Linked DNA regions of Mus musculus. The protein of the gene in region 1 interacts with the protein of each later gene in a biochemical or structural test. Links are inferred from orthologs where the notes say so. Each region holds a gene or a part of one and is shown in the gene's direction. Other genes may lie near its edges.

Region 1 (3,500 bases):
TGCCATATACCCAGAGACTTTTTTTGAGATAGGATTTCTCTTGTAGACCAGGCTGGCCTTGAACTCAGTGTTGGGATTGAAAGCGTGTGCCACCACTACCACCACCTGACTAAATTATTTTTTAAAAAACATATATTAAGCTTGCTTTGTTTTTTGTATTTTTTTGTAATTAGAAGTTGTTTTATTATAGAATTTAATGCCAGTTCTTGATCCTCAAAGGGTGACACAGGAAAATTGGGAGTTGAAGACCAGCCTGGGTATAATAGCTAGGGATACATATAGTTCAGTAGTAGGGAACTTGCCTAGTGTATACTTAGAGAAATCTGTGTGTGTGTGGCTGTGGTTGGTGTGAGGAAACGTGGATCTATCATCAAACTTACTTTGTAATCTGTATATAGCCTTGACCAACCCTTCCTCACATCCCTCTCAGCTCTGGGATTATAATAACCATGTAGCACAGAAGCCTAAGGAGAAAGCAAAATGCTTCTTTCTTGTTGGTGTTTTTGAGATGCTCACACTGGCTCGCCAGGATCTCCTTGATCTTCCTGTCTCCCATTCTCAGTTGGGATTACAGTTATCTTGTTTCTCTCAGCTAGAAATCCTAGACCTGCCTTCTAAAAACTCTATACTGGTTATACCAACTTTGTTATATATGTAGGAACTTGTGCCAAGTGTTTTTGCGTTTACCTGGATTTGAATGATAGATTTTGTTACATGGTGCTTTAATTTTTATGTTATATAAACAAAGTCCTGGTTTACGTTTTAGGTTTGTCTGTGATGGCTGTTTAAAGAAAACTGCACGAACTAGGAAAGAAAATAAGCTTTCTGCTAAAAGTAAGTCTCATTCTTAGAGGTAAACCTTACTTTAAACAATTACAAATAGCTGGGCGGTGGTGGCACACCCTTTAATCCCAGCACTGGGAAGGAAGAGGCTGGCAGATTTCTGAGTTTGCAGTCAGCCTCTGCATATATATGTGTGTGTGTGTGTGTGTGTGTGTGTATGTATATGTATATGTATATATGGCCAAAATTGATCAATTTTAACAAGTGTTGTGGTACATACCTCTAAGCTCTGTACTTAGGAGGCAGGCAGATCTCTTGAGTTTGAGGCCAGCCTCGTCTACATAGTGAGCCCCTCTTTCAAAAGAGAAAAAGAGATTTAGCTAAAATAAAATAATCCTATAGCATACTGAATATTGAGCTATAAAAAAAATCACTGAAGTTCTAATATACATTTTCTCCTCTATTTCTTCCTGATTTGGCTCATGTCATAATGTGATGCACATGTAAAAGTGACTGACTAGAATCACTGTAAAATTAACAGGCACCTTCTGGCCTTACCTGATACTTTGTATTGAGTGATATGATATCTTACTATGTTGAAAAAAAAAAAAAACAAATACATCAGGTTAGTTGAACCTCAATATTGACAGTAAAATTTGAGCCATGGTAATGTTCTTCCTACTCTAACATTTGTAATTGTGCACAAGACCTTAACTTGGTAACTTGTAACTTTTATATTTCTAGGATTGCCATCTACCAGACTTGGGACCTTTCTGGAGAATCGAGTGAATGACTTTCTGAGGCGACAAAATCACCCTGAATCAGGAGAGGTCACTGTTCGGGTTGTTCATGCTTCTGACAAAACTGTGGAAGTGAAACCAGGCATGAAAGCAAGGTGTCTAATGATATCTATTTTGTATTTATAGATCTACAATTGTGCACACTCAATTATTGTTGATTTCAACCTGAATGATTTGTGATTTCCTTTTCATCTGTAGGTTTGTAGATAGTGGAGAGATGGCAGAATCTTTTCCATACCGAACAAAGGCCCTGTTTGCCTTTGAAGAAATTGATGGTGTTGACTTGTGTTTCTTCGGCATGCATGTTCAAGAATATGGCTCTGACTGCCCCCCTCCCAACCAGAGGTAGGACTCAATGTGACCAGCTTCTCATGTTGTGGGAGAGGGAATGGCAAGGGGATTGGGTTCCTGTGATAACTGGCAGAAAAGCACACTGGGCAGAAACAGGATGGTGAGTATAGCATGTACCAGGTCAGTCCTACATAGAAGCCAAGGTCGACCCAGATCCCCATAGTCACACCTGGGATTTCCCTATGATAATTACAAGTAACAAGAGCACAGGAAGGAATGCTGATGTCTTTAGCCATATAAATAATAATTTAATACGTGATGAAACATTTTTCTTTCCTTGTTTTTGATATAGGAGGGTATACATATCTTACCTCGATAGTGTTCATTTCTTCCGTCCTAAATGCTTGCGGACTGCAGTCTATCATGAAATTCTAATTGGATATTTGGAATATGTCAAGAAATTAGGGTAAGCTTATTAAAAAGTGATATGTTGTAGAAAATGTATAATTATGTATTTTTGCTTTCTCGTGTTGGTTATGATACAGTGGAGCCATGAACTCAGTTTGTTAGATCTTCTGTGATATGAAGATGATATCACCATGCTTTAACTAATAAACCAATTCTTTTGTTCTGTTTTGTTGAAACTATTGATATTATTCATTTGGAAATAAAATGTTTTCTTGATCCTTTTATAATTGTGTGTAAAGACTAACAACATGCTGAATATGATACGTACAATCCCAGCCGTGTAGAGTACAAGTTCATTTATAGGTTAACATGTGCAGATAGTCCTTACCTAATCAATTCTGGAGAGTATTTGCCACCTAACTTATAGCAGTTCCCCTTACACTTAATTTTTAGGATGGGTTTCTTCCCTTTTTTGATCTTAAAATACAGACTTGAGGTTTTAGGATCAAGAACCAATTTCTGTAAATGAAATTTACAACATTCCTCAATGGCCTTTGAAAACAAGTAGTGGTATGAGAACTGTTAGTGCATCTGCTTTTGGGTCTTATTGAGAGTAAACATTTGTGTCCTTGTCTTTTTGCCTTGTTGTTTACCACGTACTGTGTGCAGTGGTTTGCACCTGTAGCCTCCACTACTCTAGGAGGACTACTGTAGCGTTTTCTAACACAAATGATATCTTGATGTCTTTCTCTTTGTGTTTTTAGATACACAACAGGGCACATCTGGGCCTGTCCACCCAGTGAAGGGGATGACTATATCTTCCATTGCCATCCACCTGATCAGAAGATACCAAAGCCCAAGCGCCTGCAAGAATGGTACAAAAAGATGCTTGACAAGGCTGTATCAGAACGTATTGTCCATGACTACAAGGTCAGTTGGAACATAGAAACATACTAGTCTACTATTTTCTGTCTTCTCTTTGACAAGTATTGTTCAGTTTTTTTTTTTTTTGGTTTTTTTGGTTTTTCGAGACAGGGTTTCTCTGTGTAGCCCTGGCTACCCTGGAACTCACTTTGTAGACCAGGCTGGCCTCGAACTCAGAAATCTGTCTGCCTCTGCCTCCTGAGTGCTGGGATTAAAGGCATGCACCACCATGCCCGGCTTTGTTCAGTCTTATAACGTGTAACTGTTATAATTTTAGTTTATTAAAGTTTAATT
Region 2 (2,258 bases), on another chromosome or scaffold:
AGGAAAAACAAAAACAGAACAAAACAAACCAAGCAAGCCTCGAACAGGGATTTTAAAGCCTGATAGAGAACCATAACCGACTTCTACCAAATCGGCAGCAACGTGGAACATTCGTGTTTGTAAATCAGTAAATTAGAGGGACACCACCCTAAGTACCCCGTAACCGCTGGTGCCCAGGACACAAGTAAAGGGACAGAGCGGTTTCAGTTGTAGATGGCTGGTACCCAGCATTCGCCGACACAGTCTTAGCTGTGTCCTGGAGCCCTCTATTCGCCAGGGTAAGGAAACCATCTCACTTTAAGTCGACAAGTAAATGGTACCCCAAAAGCCTAGAACACGGAAACCGGGCCCAGAGACCCACCTCCATTATCCTAGTCTAAAAAGAACTCCAAGAAGCTAAGTAGGGTGCAGCAAACTGCAAACAGATACCCACAGGGGAACTCAAAACCACAAAGGCTTAAAACTTCTGAAGTGTACCCTTTTCAAGACCCTTGGAGTAACTTTGGAATAGGAACTAGAAACTAATGCAAGTGGCAAAGCTCTCTTCTGATTTGAGCGGGTGACTCACTAAAAGAGACTTTAAAAGATCAAAGGGGCCAGCGAGCGCCTCATCCAGGGAGGCCTCTACTTGGCGCTGGTGTACTTGGTGACGGCCTTGGTGCCCTCCGACACGGCGTGCTTGGCCAGTTCTCCGGGCAGTAGAAGGCGCACCGACGTCTGGATCTCCCGCGATGTGATTGTAGACCGCTTGTTGTAATGCGCCAGGCGAGAAGCCTCGTTTGCTATGCGCTCAAAGATGTCATTGACAAACGAGTTCATGATGCCCATGGCCTTGGACGAGATGCCGGTGTCCGGGTGCACCTGCTTCAGCACTTTGTACACATAGATGGAGTAGCTCTCCTTGCGGCTGCGCTTGCGCTTCTTGCCATCTTTCTTTTGCGCCTTGGTGACAGCCTTCTTGGAACCCTTCTTGGGAGCCGGGGCAGATTTGGCCAGTTCAGGCATGATTAAAAGCAAACAGTGGAAAACAGTCTAGTAAGTAGAAAATCAACCAGGGACCCGGAGGACTTGAGCCCTTTATGAACGCCTTATGCAAATTAGGTCTCAAAGTACTTTTAATTTCCATTGGCCCATACGCGAAACTTGCGTTTTCAGTACAAGCCTAAAATTTCAGATTTCATTGGACTTCTCAGGGGCCAAATAACCACCAATGAAAAGCTCCCTCCTCACCCCACCCCTAGGAGCGCCTATAAAGGCCTTAGAGACGAATCAACCTAGCTTTACAGAAGTTGTCACCTCGGTGTGTCCTACATTATACTCTAAGTTATGTCTGGCCGTGGCAAACAGGGAGGCAAGGCCCGCGCCAAGGCCAAGTCGCGGTCTTCCCGGGCCGGGCTACAGTTCCCGGTGGGGCGTGTGCACCGGCTGCTGCGCAAGGGCAACTACGCGGAGCGCGTGGGCGCCGGCGCGCCGGTATACATGGCGGCGGTGCTGGAGTACCTAACGGCCGAGATCCTGGAGCTGGCGGGCAACGCGGCCCGCGACAACAAGAAGACGCGCATCATCCCGCGCCATCTGCAGCTGGCCATCCGCAACGACGAGGAGCTCAACAAGCTGCTGGGCAAAGTGACGATCGCACAGGGCGGCGTCCTGCCCAACATCCAGGCCGTGCTGCTGCCCAAGAAGACCGAGAGCCACAAGGCTAAGAGCAAGTGAAACTCAACACGAATCCAAAAAGGCTCTTTTTAGAGCCACCAAATCTTTTACAAAGGAGCTAGCTAACGCGCCAGTTTGTGACCAGCCCTTTGGATGACACTTTGGTGGCTCTTAAAAGAGCCTTTTTGTGTGGAAAGGGATAATAGTTATTTGTTCTTTCCAGGCTTATGACTTTCCGTTTTCTTCGGAAGTAAGACAGCCTGAATATTGGGGAGGACCCCGCCCTGGGCGATGGTGACTCCCCCTAGTAACTTGTTGAGCTCCTCATCGTTCCTCACAGCTAGTTGCAGATGGCGCGGGATGATGCGCGTCTTCTTGTTGTCGCGGGCCGCGTTGCCCGCCAGCTCCAGGATCTCGGCCGTTAGGTACTCCAGCACCGCCGCCATGTACACCGGCGCGCCGGCGCCCACGCGCTCCGCGTAGTTGCCCTTGCGCAGCAGCCGGTGCACACGCCCCACCGGGAACTGCAGCCCGGCGCGGGACGACCGCGACTTCGCCTTGGCGCGGGCCTTGCCTCCTTGTTTGCCACGGCCAGACATGGC
Region 3 (2,522 bases), on another chromosome or scaffold:
TGTTTCGCCACCACCAGGAAGGAGGGTGTGGGGAGCAGACTGGCAGGGTTCCTGTTGGGAGCCATTGTTGGGAAGACTGCGGGCTTGTAGCAGGAGGCGGTGCATGTGTTGAGGCAGATGCAGTGCTTCAGTGATGCAACCTGGAGTCAGGCCCCAGTGCTGTGGACTTCCTGCCCTTACTGACGCTGCCTTGAGACAGGGTGGCCCTCAGCTAGGGAAAGCTTGATGTCCATAGGGAAACTCCTCCCTCTGCCCTGCCTGCTATCCCAGGCCATGCAGCTGCTCCTGTGTGATCTACTTCTTGTGGCCCGTACCAGTCTGTGGCAGCGGCAGCAGTCACCAGCTTCAGTCCAGGTAGCTCACGGTACCAGCAATGGACCCCAGGCCTCTGCTCTGGAGCTGCGTGGTTTCCAACATGACCTGAGCAGCCTGCGGCGGTTGGCACAGAGCTTCCGGCCTGCTATGAGGAGGGTGAGTCCCACTGTTCTCACACTGAGGGGCATGAGGTAGGAAGCCGGGAGTGGGGGGACAGTAAATCTGAAACGGGTGACTACTCCTTGCCTCTCAGGTATTCCTACATGAGGCCACAGCTCGGCTGATGGCAGGAGCAAGTCCTGCCCGGACACACCAGCTCCTGGATCGCAGTCTGAGGAGGAGGGCAGGTTCCAGTGGCAAAGGAGGTGAGGAGGTGGCTGTGCTTACAGGGCTGGTGAGGGTCAGGGGCCGTCTTGGTCTAGTGAGACATACTGAGAGCTGACTTACAGAAATCAGCGGGGATGACAGTTTTTGAGGCAGTCATAGGAAAGAAGCTGAGCCCCCCTGTGTGCCCAGCCCAAGTGGAGAAAGCAGCCAGACTGGGAGTTCCACGTGGAAGAGCTCAGCTACTTTGTCCTGCACATGGGGTGTGGGCTCGGCCAGACCTAAGCCTCCCTCCCTTTGATGTGATCTGTGCAGGCACTACAGCTGAGCTGGAGCCACGGCCCACATGGCGGGAGCACACCGAGGCCCTGCTGTTGGCATCCTGCTATCTGCCCCCTGCCTTCCTGTCGGCTCCTGGGCAGCGAATGAGCATGCTGGCCGAGGCGGCACGCACCGTAGAGAAGCTTGGCGATCACCGGCTACTGCTGGACTGCCAGCAGATGCTCCTGCGCCTGGGCGGCGGAACCACCGTCACTTCCAGCTAGACCCCAAAGCTTTCCCTTGAGGACCTTTGTCATTGGCTGTGGTCTTCCAGAGGGTGAGCCTGACAAGCAATCAGGACCATGCCGACCTCTAGTGGCAGATCTGGAAATTGCAGAGGCTGCACTGGCCCGATGGCACCCTCTTGCTCTGTAGGCACCTTAGTGGCTTTTCCCTAGCTGAGGCTCACCCTGGGAGACCTGTACATAGTGTAGATCCGGCTGGGCCTGGCTCCAGGGCAGGCCCATGTACTACTTTGACTTTTGCAAACTTTATTTTCATAGGTTGAGAAATTTTGTACAGAATATTAAAAAATGAAATTATTTATAACTTCAGTTTTGTTTATCTGGGTAGGCAGATGTCTGCCTCAGCTGATTGCTATCTTTCCTGGCTTGTCCTTTGGGAAGCCGGACTTCCCATCTGTTGTAAGGTGTATTTGCTGGCTTGGTGATGCTATGTTGAGCCACCTTGGCCCTCTGATCTCATGGCTCATAACCCTTGAGGGGCCTTGATGGTCTCAGTTGTTCCTTTGCCTTCCAGCCCTCCACCAGGTAATAACCCCGTATATCCAGAAACACACACAGTTCCCTAGTCATCTCTGTGCACCAGCATAGGCGAAGGATCAGGGCCCATTAGTGAGTAGACTGGGAACCCTGTTTGTGTCCCCCGGCCCCTTCCCTCTACTCCCAACCCCTTAGGGAATCTGGTCGGCATCCACAGGCCGCACACTTCCAAAACAATCGTGGTATCTTTATTGACTTTTTTTTTTCTGAATGCAATGACTGTTTTTTTTTTTTTTAACTCTTAAGGAAAATAAACATCTTTTAGAAACAGCTCGATACACACAATCTTCAGTGTGAAGCAATATACTAATAAGAACACTAGTTGTCTTAACATTTACAGTCTTCATATATATTATATATATGTATATGTATACATATATATACACTATATAACGAGGCCAGATATAATACACACGTTTACCATTTTACAGTCATATGTACAGAACGTTGCAGGGAGAAGGGGCTGCATCAGGCCTATTAAAGCGTGGACAGAGCTGAGGACACAAACGGACAGGTGGGGGCTGGCCGTGGTGGTGGTGATGGTGGTAGTTGCTCGGGGAAGGGGCATCACTTTGGCCCCGACCCCAGCCAAGGCCAGGTTAGGGCTCTGTGCTGTGGAGCACACGACGCACAGCAGCGACACACAGAAGCGAGCATGTTCCCAACATATATACATTCTATGTAACATATATATAGAGGGGTACACAGGTTTGTACACGAATCTAGCACTGTCTCCGCCTATGAGCCGAGTGAGCTGAGTGGCAGTCCCTGAATCCCATG
Region 4 (3,500 bases), on another chromosome or scaffold:
AAAAATAAATATAAATGCATGAAATTACATGACAATATTTAGGTAATTCTTATTACTTTAAGAAATTTTAAAAATACTTAGTCTTAGGTCCTTTGTATTTCATAGTTTTATAAATACACTCACTGGTTTAAAGAAATGTGTAACTTGCTTTGAATAACCCTGCAATGTTTTTTATATTTCTCCTTTAAAAAAAATCCAGCTATCATTAATGATATCATTAATTATCAATTTCTCACCAGAACACCTTTTAAGTAGTGGGCTGGGATTTATTTGACCATTTAGTTCAACCATATAAGTTCTTTAAGATGCCACTGAAAAAAATCATGTTGAATTTAACACATTTGAAGAGAAAGGTACATTCTCTTAAGTAGTCCTACAAGAATGCATAGGCATATAAGATATTTAAAATTACGATGTAATTTTTACATATACAGTGATACACACATTGTAAAATATTCATTTGCCTTATATTTCCAGTAATTACTATGGACTTTGTTGGATTAAAGTAGTTTTCTCTTTTGTGTGTGTGTGTGTGTGTGTGTGTGTGTGTGTGTGTGTGTTTGTTGTTTATTTGTGTTCTTTTGTTTTGTTTCTGGTGGTACTGAGTTTGTACCCAGATCCTTCAGCCTGCTTTCTGTCATTTGAATAAGCAAATGAGTGATAGATTCAAATGCAAGAGGTCTAAATCAGAATGAATAAAATTAAAGGTAGCAGCAATAATTTATTGAAAAACCACATGGCCACAATTGATTCTCCCCTTTGCCCCCACCCCCTGTGTGTCTCTCTCACAGGGACCTAGTACTCACTCATTAGGCTAGTCTGGCAAGCCAGTGACTGCCAAGGTTCCTCCTATCTCCTCTCCAGCACTGGCTTACAGGGATATGCTACCATGCCTGGCTGTTTTTATGGATGCTGGGGCTTGAACTCAGGATCTTGTACTTGAATGTCACGCATTTTTCTGACTGGGCTGTTTTCCCAGACTCTTACCACTAGTGGTTTATTTCTCTTTGATGTTTAGATACCAAAATATGTCAGTTTTGTTTTTTGAAATAATCTTTTTTCTTTATAACAGCTATATTTCAGACATATCCACATTTTTGCTCATATGACAATACTCTCCACTTACCTATAGTCTGATTTTTTTCAGTTCATTTATTTGTAATCAACTGTAGTCCAAAATGTTAAAAGAAAAATTTCATAAAGTTTTAAATAACTTGTTTTAGTCATTTGTTGTAATTCTATTATATTGTTGTTAACCTCTTATATGTGTGTATGTATGTATGTGTGTGTATGTATGTATGTGTGTGTGTGTTTATAGGATAAAATGTATGTGCATGTATGTAAGTCGTCTTAAACTGATTCTTTTCTTTTCTTTTTTTTTTTTTAGTCTAACCACTACCATCAGAATTCTTTCTCTAGAAAGCTAATCTGAGCCTTTGATTTCCTGAATAAAAGCATTGATTGCTTTTCACATATACAACAAAATCCATATTACTGGATGTGCTTGGACTTTTGGTTCTCTTTCTAAGAGTGGTAGTGCACTCTACTTCCATTGGTGGTTGATGTCATGGACAATTACTTCCCTTTTTCTAAAATGTCTTTCCACTCTTGTTTTGTTACATTTTCCCTCTCTTAAACTGTTAGATTCCTCTTTTGTTCTTATTATAACTTTCTGCAGAATTTTGTTAGTATTTCCCCCTTCTGTACACTAACATCATTGCGATGACTAGTATAGTCATTGCTTGCTGTTGGGTATAGGGTCCTTCCGAGTAGCAGCTGTGATAGTGAGGGTGTCACTTTCTTCAAGAGAGCAACATCTGAAGTAATAGTAGTACCATTTACTGATTACCACTTGTATGTGTGATACTTGGAAGAATTTAACACATATTTTACAGAGCATATTAATAATAAGATATTATTAAACACAGGGTCTTGCTAGACTCTTGCTGGATCTTATTTTGTTTTGATAGTAGAACTCAGGAGGCAAAAAAATCACTGCAAGTTCATGGTCAATTGGGTCTACATATACATAGTAAATTCTACAAGGAAAAGAAAAGTGCCCAGTTTGGAATAGACCATGTCCCATGCTATACTAAAAAACTCATTGTTTCACCATTTCTGAAGCTTGTTTACATTCTACAGGATAAGCCTTAGTGAAATGGGTTTATGGTTTGGGGAATTTATACTCCTGAAGTAAAATCACATGGTTACCTGCCTTAACATGAAAACACAGTTATTTTATGGACCTTCTATTTCCATGACTTGGCTAAAGGGTGAAGATGCATATATTTTTAAAGTTTTATTGACATATACTTAAAACTCATTATAATATAATAATTATATATAAACTTTTTTTTTAGTTTTTTTTTTTTTTTGATATGAGATCTCATTATGTAGCCCTGCTGGCCTGGAACTTGCTATATAGTTAAGACTGGTCTTGAACTCACAGAGATCAGCCTACCTCTATTAAGGCCTGGCCCTCCATACTTGGAAATACCATCCTTCAAACTTTCTCATCTACCAAGTTTAGACAAATAGTGATCACCTTTTTTTTCATTATAGATTAGCTTACATTTCTGGAGTTTCATGTAAATGGATCATATAGTATGTGCTTCTTTTACTCAACACACTTACTTTGGTAGTTATATTTATAGTGTTTTATCCTAAGGGTACGTATGTTGAATTACATTTGTTATGGAAGGTAAATGACTTTGTTATCTCCACATTATGTGTTACATTTTGGAGAAGATTTAGATGGGACCGATTTGAAAGTTCAGTTGAGCTTAAAGTCAGTATACTGTTTTAGTATATTGTGTACAGATCCTTTGATAATCCAGACTCGCCTATGCAAGGACGTAAGTCCACTTTAATTTTTAATGAGTGTTCTTTCATGCAGTGATTGTCTAATTTAAAATAAAGCAGTTAAGTACATTTTACTCAGTTTTGGAATATAATGTACTTCTGAATACTATTTTCTTCACCTTTCTTGGGAAATGTTGGAAGAAAAACTTTATAATTGCCCTCATGTGGACAGGTAACTCTAAGAGTTGTTATCTCACAACTTAATACACTCATTAGGTATAGATATTAAGCAATAAAGAACTCACCAGTTATGTGTTAATACTACATAGGAATTTAGTTTGTATAAGGAAATGTTATCTTCATCATTTAATCTTTGAAGATTACATTTTAACTTTGTTATTTAATGTTGGGAAGGAAAAAGATCTTTGTTTTTTTTAAAAAAAAATATATCCATTAATGTCTATTATATTACTATTCTAATCTCATTGCACTGTTCTTTTTAAAATTTTCAGGTGGATATAATCCATACGTAGAAATAATTGAACAGCCAAGGCAGAGGGGAATGCGGTTTAGATACAAGTGTGAAGGGCGATCAGCAGGTAGCATCCCAGGGGAGCGCAGCACAGACAACAACCGGACATACCCGTCTGTCCAGGTAATGGCCTTTCTTCAGTATCTCACTTTTAAGGGTTCAGTTT
Region 5 (4,146 bases), on another chromosome or scaffold:
AACAAACAAACAAAAAACCCTCTTACCATCTTTGTCTCCCTTACAGCCCTTGACTTCTATTACGAGTCAGTGTCTGCTTATGACTGTGTTCTCATCACTAGGCTTGGCCACACGGACATTTAAGGCCAGCCTGGGCTAGGTGTCAGAAAGATTGTATTACACCACCAAGTTTCTGCACTCAATAGTCAGGGGTTAAATGATTTTTTACTCAAAAAACATTAACTCATAAATCAAACTCAAGACCGCACTCATTTTGAAGATCAATTGTAAAGTGGTAGTCTGGTTAATTTCTCAGATGACCTTATTATTACTGTTTGTTTGTTTGTTTGTTTGTTTGTTGTTTCATTGAGGACCTGGTGCACACTGAAAATGGTGACAGGGTAGTCCGGTTTTTGCTTTCAAAGCTGTGAAGTCTTTGAGGGGACACATCATGCCATTCCTGGGCTGCCACATATTAGATACTTAGCTAAATGCGGGTGGGGACAATGTAGTTACACTTCATACCTCGTTGCATTATGTATGACCTTAACTGGACAGGGAGCTGCACAACTTTCCCGTTTTGATTCTTTTTGCAGTTAATTAAAGTTCTCTATAAACTGGGGCACTCCCTAATCTGCTCCGGCTACAACAAACAGAAGGTAGGTTTTACTTGCACCTACGAGAGGTTTTGTAAACACTCAAGCCCAGCAAGGACAGTTCTCTCGGACAAATGAAAGCAAGATTCTTGAGATGAAGGACACCCGGCGAAATCGGTCCTTTAGTTTGTCCCGTAATGTCTCTTAACACCTTAAACCCAGATAACAGAGGGCCCGCGTGGGCATCTCGACCGCGCCCCCTGGTCAGCCACAGCGTGATTCCTTCCCGGGAGGGTTACGCCCCAGGGCGCAAGTGGAGCGACTCAAGCATTAAACGAGACAATGTAAAAGCAGTCTAGCCAAGAAGAGACAGTGTTATTTTGGCAGCCAGTTTCTCTCCCCCCGCCCCCAAACCCCCGAGCCTCCACCCAATCCCTTGGGCCGGGCGCCCAGAGCTCGGAATTGTGGCCGGCTCCAGGAGCCCAGCTCCCTCCACGTGTCCTGTCTTCCCAGCAGCCTCTCCGCCGCCTGGGGAGGAAAATCTCCTGACAACTCGCGGTCTGTGGACTACATCTCCCGGGAGGCACCGCGCCACTTCTCGCTGCCAACACCCGGGGCGCAGGCGCCCTGAGCTCTGTCAACAAGCGAGTCTGGCGAAGCCTGTGTGCGGTTCCTGATGGGATTTGTAGTTTCTCTGGCTCTCTCTCACTCGCCCATCCGACGCTCGAGGACTACAAGTCTCAGCTACCCCGGCGCGGTGAGCCCGGTCACGTGTTAGGGGGCCGATCGGGCGTGCGTGCCGCCGTTGATCCGGTGCTGCAGTGAGGTGGTTGTCGCCCGTGTTGTGTGTGCGTGAGTGTGTGTGAGTGAGTGAGCGAGTGAGTGAGTGTGTGCGTGGGGGCACTCGGCTTGTTGTTGTCGGTGACTTCCCCCTTCCCTCCACCCCTCCCCTCCCCGGCCGCCGCTGCAGTGGCCGCTCCCTGGGCCGTAGGAAATGAGCGATAACGATGACATCGAGGTGGAGAGCGACGTGAGTCCTGGGGCTTCTTCCTTTCCGTTCGGGTTGTCAGGCGGGGACAGCGGCAAGGGTTCTCAGCCGGGCGACGGCGGGAGGGGGTCGGGTCGCCGCCGCCTCCGTCCTTTTCTCCCCCTCCCCCCGGGGCCGGGACCGCCTGCGTCGCGCTCCAGGCTCGCTCCCCTCCAGTCCTGTCCGGAGAGGCCTCCTGGGACTGAAGGTGGGAGCAGACACGCGGCCTCTGGGACCCCCACATTCTCCCGTGGAGGAGGGTGTCGAGGCCTCCCTCTCCGCTCTGCCCGGCTGGGGATCCCATTATCCTTCCGGATCCTGGGCAAGGAGACCAGCGCTCAGCTCTTGCTCTTTGGGTCCATGAGCTCCCTCCTCCTGTGACCGGTTGATCCTTGGGGTGAAGGGGCTGGGAGTGCTCTGACGCCCTAGAGGGATCGAGGGAGAGCAGGCAGTGTTCCGGATCCCTCTTGTCCGGTTCGGATCCCAGAAGGAGGGGCAGTGCCTGAAACCCCCCCCCCCCCCCCCCCCAACTAGGCTACGGGATCTCGCTGGAGAGAGTGGAAGGGGAAAGAGGGAGGGAGGGGTGTCAGACTGACTCCCCACCCGCTGCTTCCTCCGCCGCCGGCATTTTCTTTCTTATTATTGAATTCGAAGTGTGAAAATAACTTCTGTATTTTCTATTTTTCTCTCTCTCTTATTCCAGGAAGAGCAACCGAGGTTTCAATCTGCGGTACGTCTCCTACTCTCCATTTCATTTTCATTTCCGTTCAGTTTTGGTTCTTTTTGGAGTCAGAAAAAGAGATCGTTCTATTACTTTTAATACTCTTGTAAACTCCTCTTAACCGCTAAGGTGAGGTTGAGTCTGTTGGGGTTGGAGGAGGGGGGCGTTGCAAATCCACATGATTCTTGATATTCAGGTGGTAGATTCTAGTGAGTAGGTAGGTAGGTAGGCAGGCAAGTGAGGAGGCCTGTGCTGTGAACTGAGTTGTTCTGTAGTGTTCAGTGCGGCGGAGATATGTGAGAAATGGAAGGGCATTCTGAAGTGAATGGTAGTGTTATTTCAGAGCAAACTGGCTAGGTTTTATTTAGGAGCAGGTAAACTTTAAGCAGTATCTCCATAGTTGTGTGAAGTTGCAGGCACATGTAATAATCGCCTTTAGCCAAGGTCATGTGACTACTGCAGACTCCTAGGATCTAGAAAAGCATGATATTCCCCAAAAAACGACAATGGAAAAAAGAGAGGCGCTAGAAGTTAAATATTGAAAGTGGCACAGCTTTTTGTGGTCTTGACTTTCCATTTGAGAAGAAAAAAAATGTTGAAGAGTGGCACTGTTAGAGACAGCTTTGCTGAAAGGTGATGGATGCATCCATATAATGTTATCAGTAACTTATTAGATTTTTTTATATTAATGGGGTTTTTTTGTAGGTGTTTCTGGCTTTGGGTTGACCCCATGCTTTCTTGTCTGGAGTCTGAGACTTAGGAGTAAATAGGCATAGATTAGAGAGAGAGAGGAGAGAAGGAATAGACTCAGAATACAACCAGAGGAGAGAGAGAGAGATGGAATATTTGATGGTTGGAAATGGTAGGGAAAGAGAATGGAGTGAGGTCCTCATTACCCGTGAGGACCAGGTAACAGCTAGTCAAGGGTGGAAGGAAGAGGTGAGGATGTACACCCCTTCTAAAAAGTCCGTAGCCACCTGCCCCTGCTGCTTGCTACCTGAGAGTGATCGGTGCTGCCCGGTGCTGCCAGATCTTTTTGTTTCCTTCAGGGCTGAGCCCTATCCCTGGAACCTCAAAGTTTATGAGAAATGTTAAAATACTTGAAACACAGATTATTACTTTTTTGGGTGTGTTTATGTGCATTTAACTTTTGACTGTGCTAGGATTCGAACCCAGGGCCCTCGCATGCTGTGCAACCCCTCTGCCATGGAGCTTCAACCTCAGCCTATTTAATTGATTTTTTTAATTACATTTACTTAACGTGTGTGTGTGTGTGTGTGTGTGTGTGTGTGTGTGTGTATGTATGTATGTGTGTATGTATGTATGTATGTGTGTGTGAGTGTTGTGTGGTCACGTGTATGTGATGGCTCACATGTGAAGGTCATAAGAACCACTTGGATTCAGTTCTCTCTCTCAAACACATGGGTCTGGGGATTGAATTTAGGGTCATCAGGTTTGACCTCAGTGCCTTTACCCACTGAGCTATCTCTCTACCTTCTAGTTACCTGATTTTTAAACGATATATGACACAGCTGTTTAGGAACTTGTAGAGTTTGCAGGATGCAACTAGGCTTGGTGGTTCTGGTCGGTAAACCCAGTTACTGGGGAGGCTGAGGTAGGAGGATCAAACGTTCGAGCAATTTACTGAGACCCTGCCTTAACATACACAACACAGAGTCCAGGCTTGTGGCCCAGTATGTAAGCCCAGGGCTTCTGAGGCTTTGGCAGGAGTCTTCCCTGAATTTTAAGCCAGCCTGGGATATAGAATGAGTTCCAGCCTGGGCTACAGCATGAGATTCTGCCTCACACGAACAAGAACTCTC
Region 6 (2,537 bases), on another chromosome or scaffold:
GGCTGGAGGCCCTTGGTGGCAGCCTGGACCCCAATTCCCAGAGCCTGCCCCACCCCTGACACCTACTCTCTGGTTAGGAATGCCTACTGCCTACGACCTGAGCAGTGTTATTGCCGGCGGCTCCAGTGTGGGTCACAACAACCTGATTCCCTTAGGTGAGTGTCCCCTGGGATCTATGGCATGGCAGGGGAGGACTGGGATGTGCCAGTGGCCAGTTAAACCAGTGCTTGGTTCTCTGCCACCACTGTCGCTGTCATGGTCACTTCTTCTTCTTCCTGGGGACTCTAGCCCTGTGTGCCTCTCTACTTTTATCACCACTCCACCTGCCCTTCCCTACACCATCCATGAGTGGAGTGGGCAGGGCAGGCTGGGGGCGGTGACATCTGCCTCCCTCCCTCTTTCCTCCCTGTCGCTACGCAGCTAACACAGGGATTGTCAATCACACCCACTCCCGGATGGGCTCCATAATGAGCACGGGCATTGTCCAAGGTAACAGGGTAGTGGGGCCGTGGGCGGGGGACGTTCCGCCTGGCCTGCGCACACGTTCAAGCTACCAGTGGGGGCCAGGCAGGCTCAGGGGTCATGCTGGCTCCTCAGTGCCCGTGACCTGCCCTACAGGCTCCTCAGGTGCCCAGGGAGGCGGCGGTAGCTCCAGTGCCCACTATGCAGTCAACAACCAGTTCACCATGGGTGGCCCTGCCATCTCTATGGCCTCGCCCATGTCCATCCCGACCAACACCATGCACTATGGGAGTTAGGTGCCTCCAGCCGCGACAGCACTGCGCACTGACAGCACCAGGAAACCAAATCAAGTCCAGGCCCGGCACAGCCAGTGGCTGTTCCCCCTTGTTCTGGAGAAGTGTGAACACCCGGTCACAGCCCTCTTTGCTATGGGAACTTGGACAATTTTGTACACGATGTCGCCGCTGCCCTCAAGTACCCCCAGCCCAACCTTTGGTCCCGAGCGCGTGTTGCTGCCATACTTTACATGAGATCCTGTTGGGGCAGCCCTCATCCTGTTCTGTACTCTCCACTCTGACCTGGCTTTGACATCTGCTGGAAGAGGCAAGTCCTCCCCCAACCCCCACAGCTGCACCTGACCAGGCAGGAGGAGGCCAGCAGCTGCCACCACAGACCTGGCAGCACCCACCCCACAACCCGTCCTTGCACCTCCCCTCACCTGGGGTGGCAGCACAGCCAGCTGGACCTCTCCTTCAACTACCAGGCCACATGGTCACCATGGGCGTGACATGCTGCTTTTTTTAATTTTATTTTTTTACGAAAAGAACCAGTGTCAACCCACAGACCCTCTGAGAAACCCGGCTGGCCGGGCCAAGCCAGCAGCCCCTGTTCCTAGGCCCAGAGGTTCTAGGTGAGGGGTGGCCCTGTCAAGCCTTCAGAGTGGGCACAGCCCCCTCCCACCAAAGGGTTCACCTCAAACTTGAATGTACAAACCACCCAGCTGTCCAAAGGCCTAGTCCCTACTTTCTGCTACTGTCCTGTCCTGAGCCCTGAAGGCCCCCCTCCATCAAAAGCTTGAACAGGCAGCCCAGAGTGTGTCACCCTGGGCTACTGGGGCAGACAAGAAACCTCAAAGATCTGTCACACACACACAAGGAAGGCGTCCTCTCCTGATAGCTAACATAGGCCTGTGTGTTGCGTTCACATTCATGTTCTACTTAATCCTCTCAAGACAGCAACCCTGGGAAGGAGCCTCGCAGGGACCTCCCCAGACAAGAAGAAAAGCAAAGAAGGAAGGGTGATTAATAAGCACAGGCAGTTTCCCCTATTCCCTTACCCTAGAGTCCCCACCTCAATGGCCACAGCCTGCCACAGGAACCCCTTGGCAAAGGCTGGAGCTGCTCTGTGCCACCCTCCTGACCTGTCAGGGAATCAGAGGGCCCTCAGGCAGCTGGGAACCAGGCTCTCTCCTGTCCATCAGTAATACTCCTTGCTCGGCTGCCCCTCCCCCACCTTTATATAAATTCTCTGGATCACCTTTGCATAGAAAATAAAAGTGTTTGCTTTGTAAGAAAAGCCTGCAAAACAGCAGGGTAGTCTCCAGGGTCCAAGAATCCTCCCATCTTCATAGGGAGGGCAGGACAAGTAGTATCCCCTTGAGTTTGGCCTGAAAAAGAAAGACTCCTAGGAATGGTCCCAGGAGGAGGGTACATCCTCAACCAACACAGAAACTGGTCCCTCACCTATGAGCCTTCCTAGGAGGTTGTCATGGGCTGGATTGAACTGGGCAGCAGGACATTGGGAGATGGAGGTGTAGCTTGGGGTGCTGGCACCACATGGTCCAGAGGCAGTGGCTGGAAGAAGTACAGCTGCAGAAAGACCTCAGAATGAATGTACAGTTGGGTGGCAGCACACCCCACTCCACAGCCCTGGTGAGAATCTCCTGGAACCTACCTTACAGCCTAGCGCCAAGAGGGCGTGAAGCAGCACCACAGTAGACAATAGTGCCGCAGCCACCAGCCGTGTATCCTCTCGGACAACAGGCCACAGTGTGAATACCAGCCCGGCTGCTGACA
Region 7 (4,239 bases), on another chromosome or scaffold:
ACGTGGCACCGACGCCCCGAGAGGAGCGAGTGCACACGCTGCCTATGCTGGAGCATCGACCCCCTTTCCCGAGTGCCTTTCTTCAGTCCCCGCCCTCAGCTGTCTCCGCCAGGGTTCAACCATGAGGGCGGCGGAGCCCAACTCTGCTCCCCAATCCAAAATAAACACCTAGCCTTAAAAAAAAAAAAAAAGTAAACCTAGTTTAGCGAGTTATACTGAACACCACACTCACGGTTTTTGTTTTGTTTTAAGTACTTGGTAGAGATGAGGGCGAAAACCTTTCCCGGCTGGAAAATTACTGAGGGTAGTGGGGAATGGGAAAAGGAGTAATAAGACTAAAACAAAGACTGCCTTTTCCCCTCCCGGTAGGCAAGGGCCTGAGGTGCCACTTTGGAGCACTAGGGTCCCATTGCAGCGCTCCTCTTCCCAGCGCAGGATCACCTCCCAGTGAAGTCCCTTTGAGTGGGTTGGCTAGCTCAGAACCTAAGTTGATGGGAGCGAGTTGTCCTATGACCTTTACCTCGCCGCTTCACCTCTTTATGACTCACTTCTCATCTTCAAAATGAAGAGTGCGAGTGCGTAGCTTGTAAAGAGCTTTGAGATCCCTGGTGAAAGGTATCTCCGCGCCTCGGTCCCTCTCCGCGTTCCCACTCCCCCACCCCCAATGTAAATCTGGAACGCCTTCCTTGTTCCTTCCATTATCAAGATGACTACGTGCCCAATCCCGGCCGCTCTCTTTCATAGCAGGCGCGGAACCCCTTCTCCTAGCTTCTGAGATTCCTAGCGCCCCCCCCCAATCACCCGGCCCTCACCCCCACCCTACGGGAGGCCCCACTGGCACCCGCGCCAGGCCAGGCCCTGCGCCGACACGGCCCGGCGTCTGCGTGCGTATGCGAGAGAGGGCGGGCTGGATGAGTCACGCGGATAATCGCGCTCTCGAGTGCGCAGACGACAGGACAAGCGCGTACGCGAGCAGGGGTAGGGGCGCGCCGCCTCTTCCCCCCCACACACACACACCCCCAACCTCCTGTCCCCCGCCAGGGTTCCCGTGGCAGGACTTTCGAGCCCAGGGAACCGACCGTGGCCGCCCAGAGGACCCCGAGTAGCGCGGCCACGGGAGCCACGCCGTACTCCCAGCGCCGGAGCCGCCGTCGCCGCCACCGCCGCCGGCGTCAGCACGGCTCCAGCCCGCCAGCTGCCTGGCTGGCGTCACGGCCTGGCCCCGCCCCGCCCGCGCCCCTCCCTCGCCCCCGCCCCCACGTGCGCGGAGTTTGTTTATTTAGCTACCATGGCAACGCGCAGTGGGGGCTGCGGGAAGGCGGGGAGAAGAAAGGCAGGGGGCGGGGCCTGGCGGCGGAGCCCCGCGCGCCGCCACAGGGAGGAGGCGGGGAGCAAGCGAGCGAGAAGTTATAAGTAAGAAGCGCGCGGCGGCCGCCGGCAGTTCCCCGGCCAAGAGAGCGAGCGCGGCTCCGGGCGCGCGGGGAGCAGAGGCGGTGGCGGGCGGCGGCGGCACCCGGAGCCGCCGAGTGCCCCTCCCCGCCCCTCCAGCCCCCCACCCAGCAACCCGCCCGTGACCCGCGCCCATGGCCGCGCGCACCCGGCACAGTCCCCAGGACTCCGCACCCCGCGCCACCGCCCAGCTCGCAGTTCCGCGCCACCGCGGCCATTCTCACCTGGCGGCGCCGCCCGCCCACCGCCCGGACCACAGCCCCCGCGCCGCCGACAGCCACAGTGGCCGCGACAACGGTGGGGGACACTGCTGAGTCCAAGAGCGTGCAGCCTGGCCATCGGACCTACTTATCTGCCTTGCTGATTGTCTATTTTTATAAGAGTTTACAACTTTTCTAAGAATTTTTGTATACAAAGGAACTTTTTTAAAGACATCGCCGGTTTATATTGAATCCAAAGAAGAAGGATCTCGGGCAATCTGGGGGTTTTGGTTTGAGGTTTTGTTTCTAAAGTTTTTAATCTTCGTTGACTTTGGGGCTCAGGTACCCCTCTCTCTTCTTCGGACTCCGGAGGACCTTCTGGGCCCCCACATTAATGAGGTAGGTGAGATGTTGGACTTGGGAACAGAAAGGGGTGAGGATTGGAGGGAAGCTTCGGAGCAGTGGCCAGGGTGTCCCCTGACTCCTGGTCCCTGTGCGCCCCGCCCGGCCCGCAGGCAGCCACCTGGCGAGTCTGACATGGCTGTCAGCGACGCTCTGCTCCCGTCCTTCTCCACGTTCGCGTCCGGCCCGGCGGGAAGGGAGAAGACACTGCGTCCAGCAGGTGCCCCGACTAACGTGAGTGTCGCGCTAGTGCCCTGTAGATTTCTGCAGATGGGGTGGGGTGTATGGGCGGAATCCGGGGGTCACCAAGAGTCCTTGGTTAGGACAAGGATTGCCCTCCATTGGAACTCTACAGCCTTCCGAGGTGGCTCCTCGGCCCTTGAGTCGGCCTTAAGTGCGTGTGGTCCCGGCACTGCGGTACCGCCAGGGGCGCACAGCGGTTCCCCACTAGTCTTCGGGCGTCCGGACCGTGGGGTGGGCGCACTCAGTCCACTATATTTTAGGTGGACAAGTCTCGAGACCCTTTGGGCCGGAGTGATCGTAGCGCGTGGGCGACCCGGTGGCTATGGTGCATGGGGAGAAAGCCACCGTGTCCCAGTGTCCCAATTCCGTGGGCGGCTGGAGCGTCCCGCGGATCTGGCGGGGAAGAGGACTGGGCTGGTGGAGCGACGGCACTAGCTTGCAGGAGAACGAACGCGCCACCTCTTACCTTGGTGTTAGCTGAGATTGCAGTGTGGCCCCTGGAGTCCCCGAGGCTGCCTTCCTGTTCTGTCCAGTTCCTATAGCAGGGTGTTGGTGTGCTTCACCCAACAAGTCAATATTAGGGGTGGCAACAGGGTGCTACAATTAACAGTTTCTCTCTCCCTCCCTGTTCTTGCAGCGTTGGCGTGAGGAACTCTCTCACATGAAGCGACTTCCCCCACTTCCCGGCCGCCCCTACGACCTGGCGGCGACGGTGGCCACAGACCTGGAGAGTGGCGGAGCTGGTGCAGCTTGCAGCAGTAACAACCCGGCCCTCCTAGCCCGGAGGGAGACCGAGGAGTTCAACGACCTCCTGGACCTAGACTTTATCCTTTCCAACTCGCTAACCCACCAGGAATCGGTGGCCGCCACCGTGACCACCTCGGCGTCAGCTTCATCCTCGTCTTCCCCGGCGAGCAGCGGCCCTGCCAGCGCGCCCTCCACCTGCAGCTTCAGCTATCCGATCCGGGCCGGGGGTGACCCGGGCGTGGCTGCCAGCAACACAGGTGGAGGGCTCCTCTACAGCCGAGAATCTGCGCCACCTCCCACGGCCCCCTTCAACCTGGCGGACATCAATGACGTGAGCCCCTCGGGCGGCTTCGTGGCTGAGCTCCTGCGGCCGGAGTTGGACCCAGTATACATTCCGCCACAGCAGCCTCAGCCGCCAGGTGGCGGGCTGATGGGCAAGTTTGTGCTGAAGGCGTCTCTGACCACCCCTGGCAGCGAGTACAGCAGCCCTTCGGTCATCAGTGTTAGCAAAGGAAGCCCAGACGGCAGCCACCCCGTGGTAGTGGCGCCCTACAGCGGTGGCCCGCCGCGCATGTGCCCCAAGATTAAGCAAGAGGCGGTCCCGTCCTGCACGGTCAGCCGGTCCCTAGAGGCCCATTTGAGCGCTGGACCCCAGCTCAGCAACGGCCACCGGCCCAACACACACGACTTCCCCCTGGGGCGGCAGCTCCCCACCAGGACTACCCCTACACTGAGTCCCGAGGAACTGCTGAACAGCAGGGACTGTCACCCTGGCCTGCCTCTTCCCCCAGGATTCCATCCCCATCCGGGGCCCAACTACCCTCCTTTCCTGCCAGACCAGATGCAGTCACAAGTCCCCTCTCTCCATTATCAAGGTTAGTGGGGGGAAGGGACTGGCTGGTAGAGATGGCGCTGGGAGCTTTGTTTCTGGGGATCTTGAGACTATCCAGATTGAAGTTGACCCCACTTTCTTTACCCCCCCCCCTCCCAGAGCTCATGCCACCGGGTTCCTGCCTGCCAGAGGAGCCCAAGCCAAAGAGGGGAAGAAGGTCGTGGCCCCGGAAAAGAACAGCCACCCACACTTGTGACTATGCAGGCTGTGGCAAAACCTATACCAAGAGTTCTCATCTCAAGGCACACCTGCGAACTCACACAGGTAAGGGAACCAGCACTGTGGAGGAGGGTTGGTGCCTGTCTG

What was found.
Region 2: of the proteins of Ep300 (region 1) and H2ac20, one has a biochemical effect on the other in vitro, tested with the Homo sapiens proteins (5 studies listed by BioGRID, with this or other methods). The link is inferred for Mus musculus from reciprocal best matches to the Homo sapiens genes EP300 and H2AC20.
Region 3: the proteins of Ep300 (region 1) and Srebf1 form a complex in vitro, tested with the Homo sapiens proteins (3 studies listed by BioGRID, with this or other methods). The link is inferred for Mus musculus from reciprocal best matches to the Homo sapiens genes EP300 and SREBF1.
Region 4: the proteins of Ep300 (region 1) and Rel form a complex in vitro, tested with the Homo sapiens proteins (3 studies listed by BioGRID). The link is inferred for Mus musculus from reciprocal best matches to the Homo sapiens genes EP300 and REL.
Region 5: of the proteins of Ep300 (region 1) and Max, one has a biochemical effect on the other in vitro, tested with the Homo sapiens proteins (3 studies listed by BioGRID). The link is inferred for Mus musculus from reciprocal best matches to the Homo sapiens genes EP300 and MAX.
Region 6: the proteins of Ep300 (region 1) and Carm1 form a complex in vitro, tested with the Homo sapiens proteins (5 studies listed by BioGRID, with this or other methods). The link is inferred for Mus musculus from reciprocal best matches to the Homo sapiens genes EP300 and CARM1.
Region 7: the proteins of Ep300 (region 1) and Klf4 form a complex in vitro, tested with the Homo sapiens proteins (2 studies listed by BioGRID). The link is inferred for Mus musculus from reciprocal best matches to the Homo sapiens genes EP300 and KLF4.

What each region holds. Positions count from the first base shown.
Region 1 is NC_000081.6:81,638,214-81,641,713, forward strand, and holds part of Ep300 (histone acetyltransferase p300), read left to right. Parts: intron 1-766; coding exon 767-834; intron 835-1,527; coding exon 1,528-1,678; intron 1,679-1,781; coding exon 1,782-1,928; intron 1,929-2,226; coding exon 2,227-2,340; intron 2,341-3,046; coding exon 3,047-3,212; intron 3,213-3,500. UniProt on the Homo sapiens protein: Functions as a histone acetyltransferase and regulates transcription via chromatin remodeling. Acetylates all four core histones in nucleosomes. Histone acetylation gives an epigenetic tag for transcriptional activation.
Region 2 is NC_000069.6:96,219,913-96,222,170, reverse strand, and holds H2ac20 (histone H2A type 2-C), read left to right. Parts: upstream 1-1,290; 5' UTR 1,291-1,326; coding exon 1,327-1,716; 3' UTR 1,717-1,758; downstream 1,759-2,258. Other genes in the region: H2bc21 (histone H2B type 2-E), read right to left, coding at 625-1,005; H2ac21 (histone H2A type 2-B), read right to left, coding at 1,863-2,255. UniProt on the Homo sapiens protein: Core component of nucleosome. Nucleosomes wrap and compact DNA into chromatin, limiting DNA accessibility to the cellular machineries which require DNA as a template.
Region 3 is NC_000077.6:60,198,584-60,201,105, reverse strand, and holds the end of Srebf1 (sterol regulatory element-binding protein 1 isoform a precursor), read left to right. Parts: intron 1-270; coding exon 271-471; intron 472-488; exon of another isoform or gene 489-568; coding exon 569-680; intron 681-954; coding exon 955-1,184; 3' UTR 1,185-2,022; downstream 2,023-2,522.
Region 4 is NC_000077.6:23,760,970-23,764,469, reverse strand, and holds part of Rel (proto-oncogene c-Rel), read left to right. Parts: intron 1-3,314; coding exon 3,315-3,457; intron 3,458-3,500. UniProt on the Homo sapiens protein: Proto-oncogene that may play a role in differentiation and lymphopoiesis.
Region 5 is NC_000078.6:76,959,449-76,963,594, reverse strand, and holds the start of Max (protein max), read left to right. Parts: upstream 1-1,346; 5' UTR 1,347-1,569; coding exon 1,570-1,605; intron 1,606-1,615; exon of another isoform or gene 1,616-1,810; intron 1,811-2,305; coding exon of another isoform or gene 2,306-2,332; intron 2,333-4,146. UniProt on the Homo sapiens protein: Transcription regulator. Forms a sequence-specific DNA-binding protein complex with MYC or MAD which recognizes the core sequence 5'-CAC[GA]TG-3'. The MYC:MAX complex is a transcriptional activator, whereas the MAD:MAX complex is a repressor.
Region 6 is NC_000075.6:21,587,431-21,589,967, forward strand, and holds the end of Carm1 (histone-arginine methyltransferase CARM1), read left to right. Parts: intron 1-77; coding exon 78-155; intron 156-420; coding exon 421-489; intron 490-618; coding exon 619-758; 3' UTR 759-2,037; downstream 2,038-2,537. Other genes in the region: protein YIPF2, read right to left, coding at 2,217-2,330, 2,416-2,537. UniProt on the Homo sapiens protein: Methylates (mono- and asymmetric dimethylation) the guanidino nitrogens of arginyl residues in several proteins involved in DNA packaging, transcription regulation, pre-mRNA splicing, and mRNA stability.
Region 7 is NC_000070.6:55,529,676-55,533,914, reverse strand, and holds the start of Klf4 (Krueppel-like factor 4), read left to right. Parts: upstream 1-1,439; 5' UTR 1,440-2,043; coding exon 2,044-2,048; intron 2,049-2,164; coding exon 2,165-2,285; intron 2,286-2,931; coding exon 2,932-3,916; intron 3,917-4,032; coding exon 4,033-4,197; intron 4,198-4,239. UniProt on the Homo sapiens protein: Transcription factor; can act both as activator and as repressor. Binds the 5'-CACCC-3' core sequence. Binds to the promoter region of its own gene and can activate its own transcription.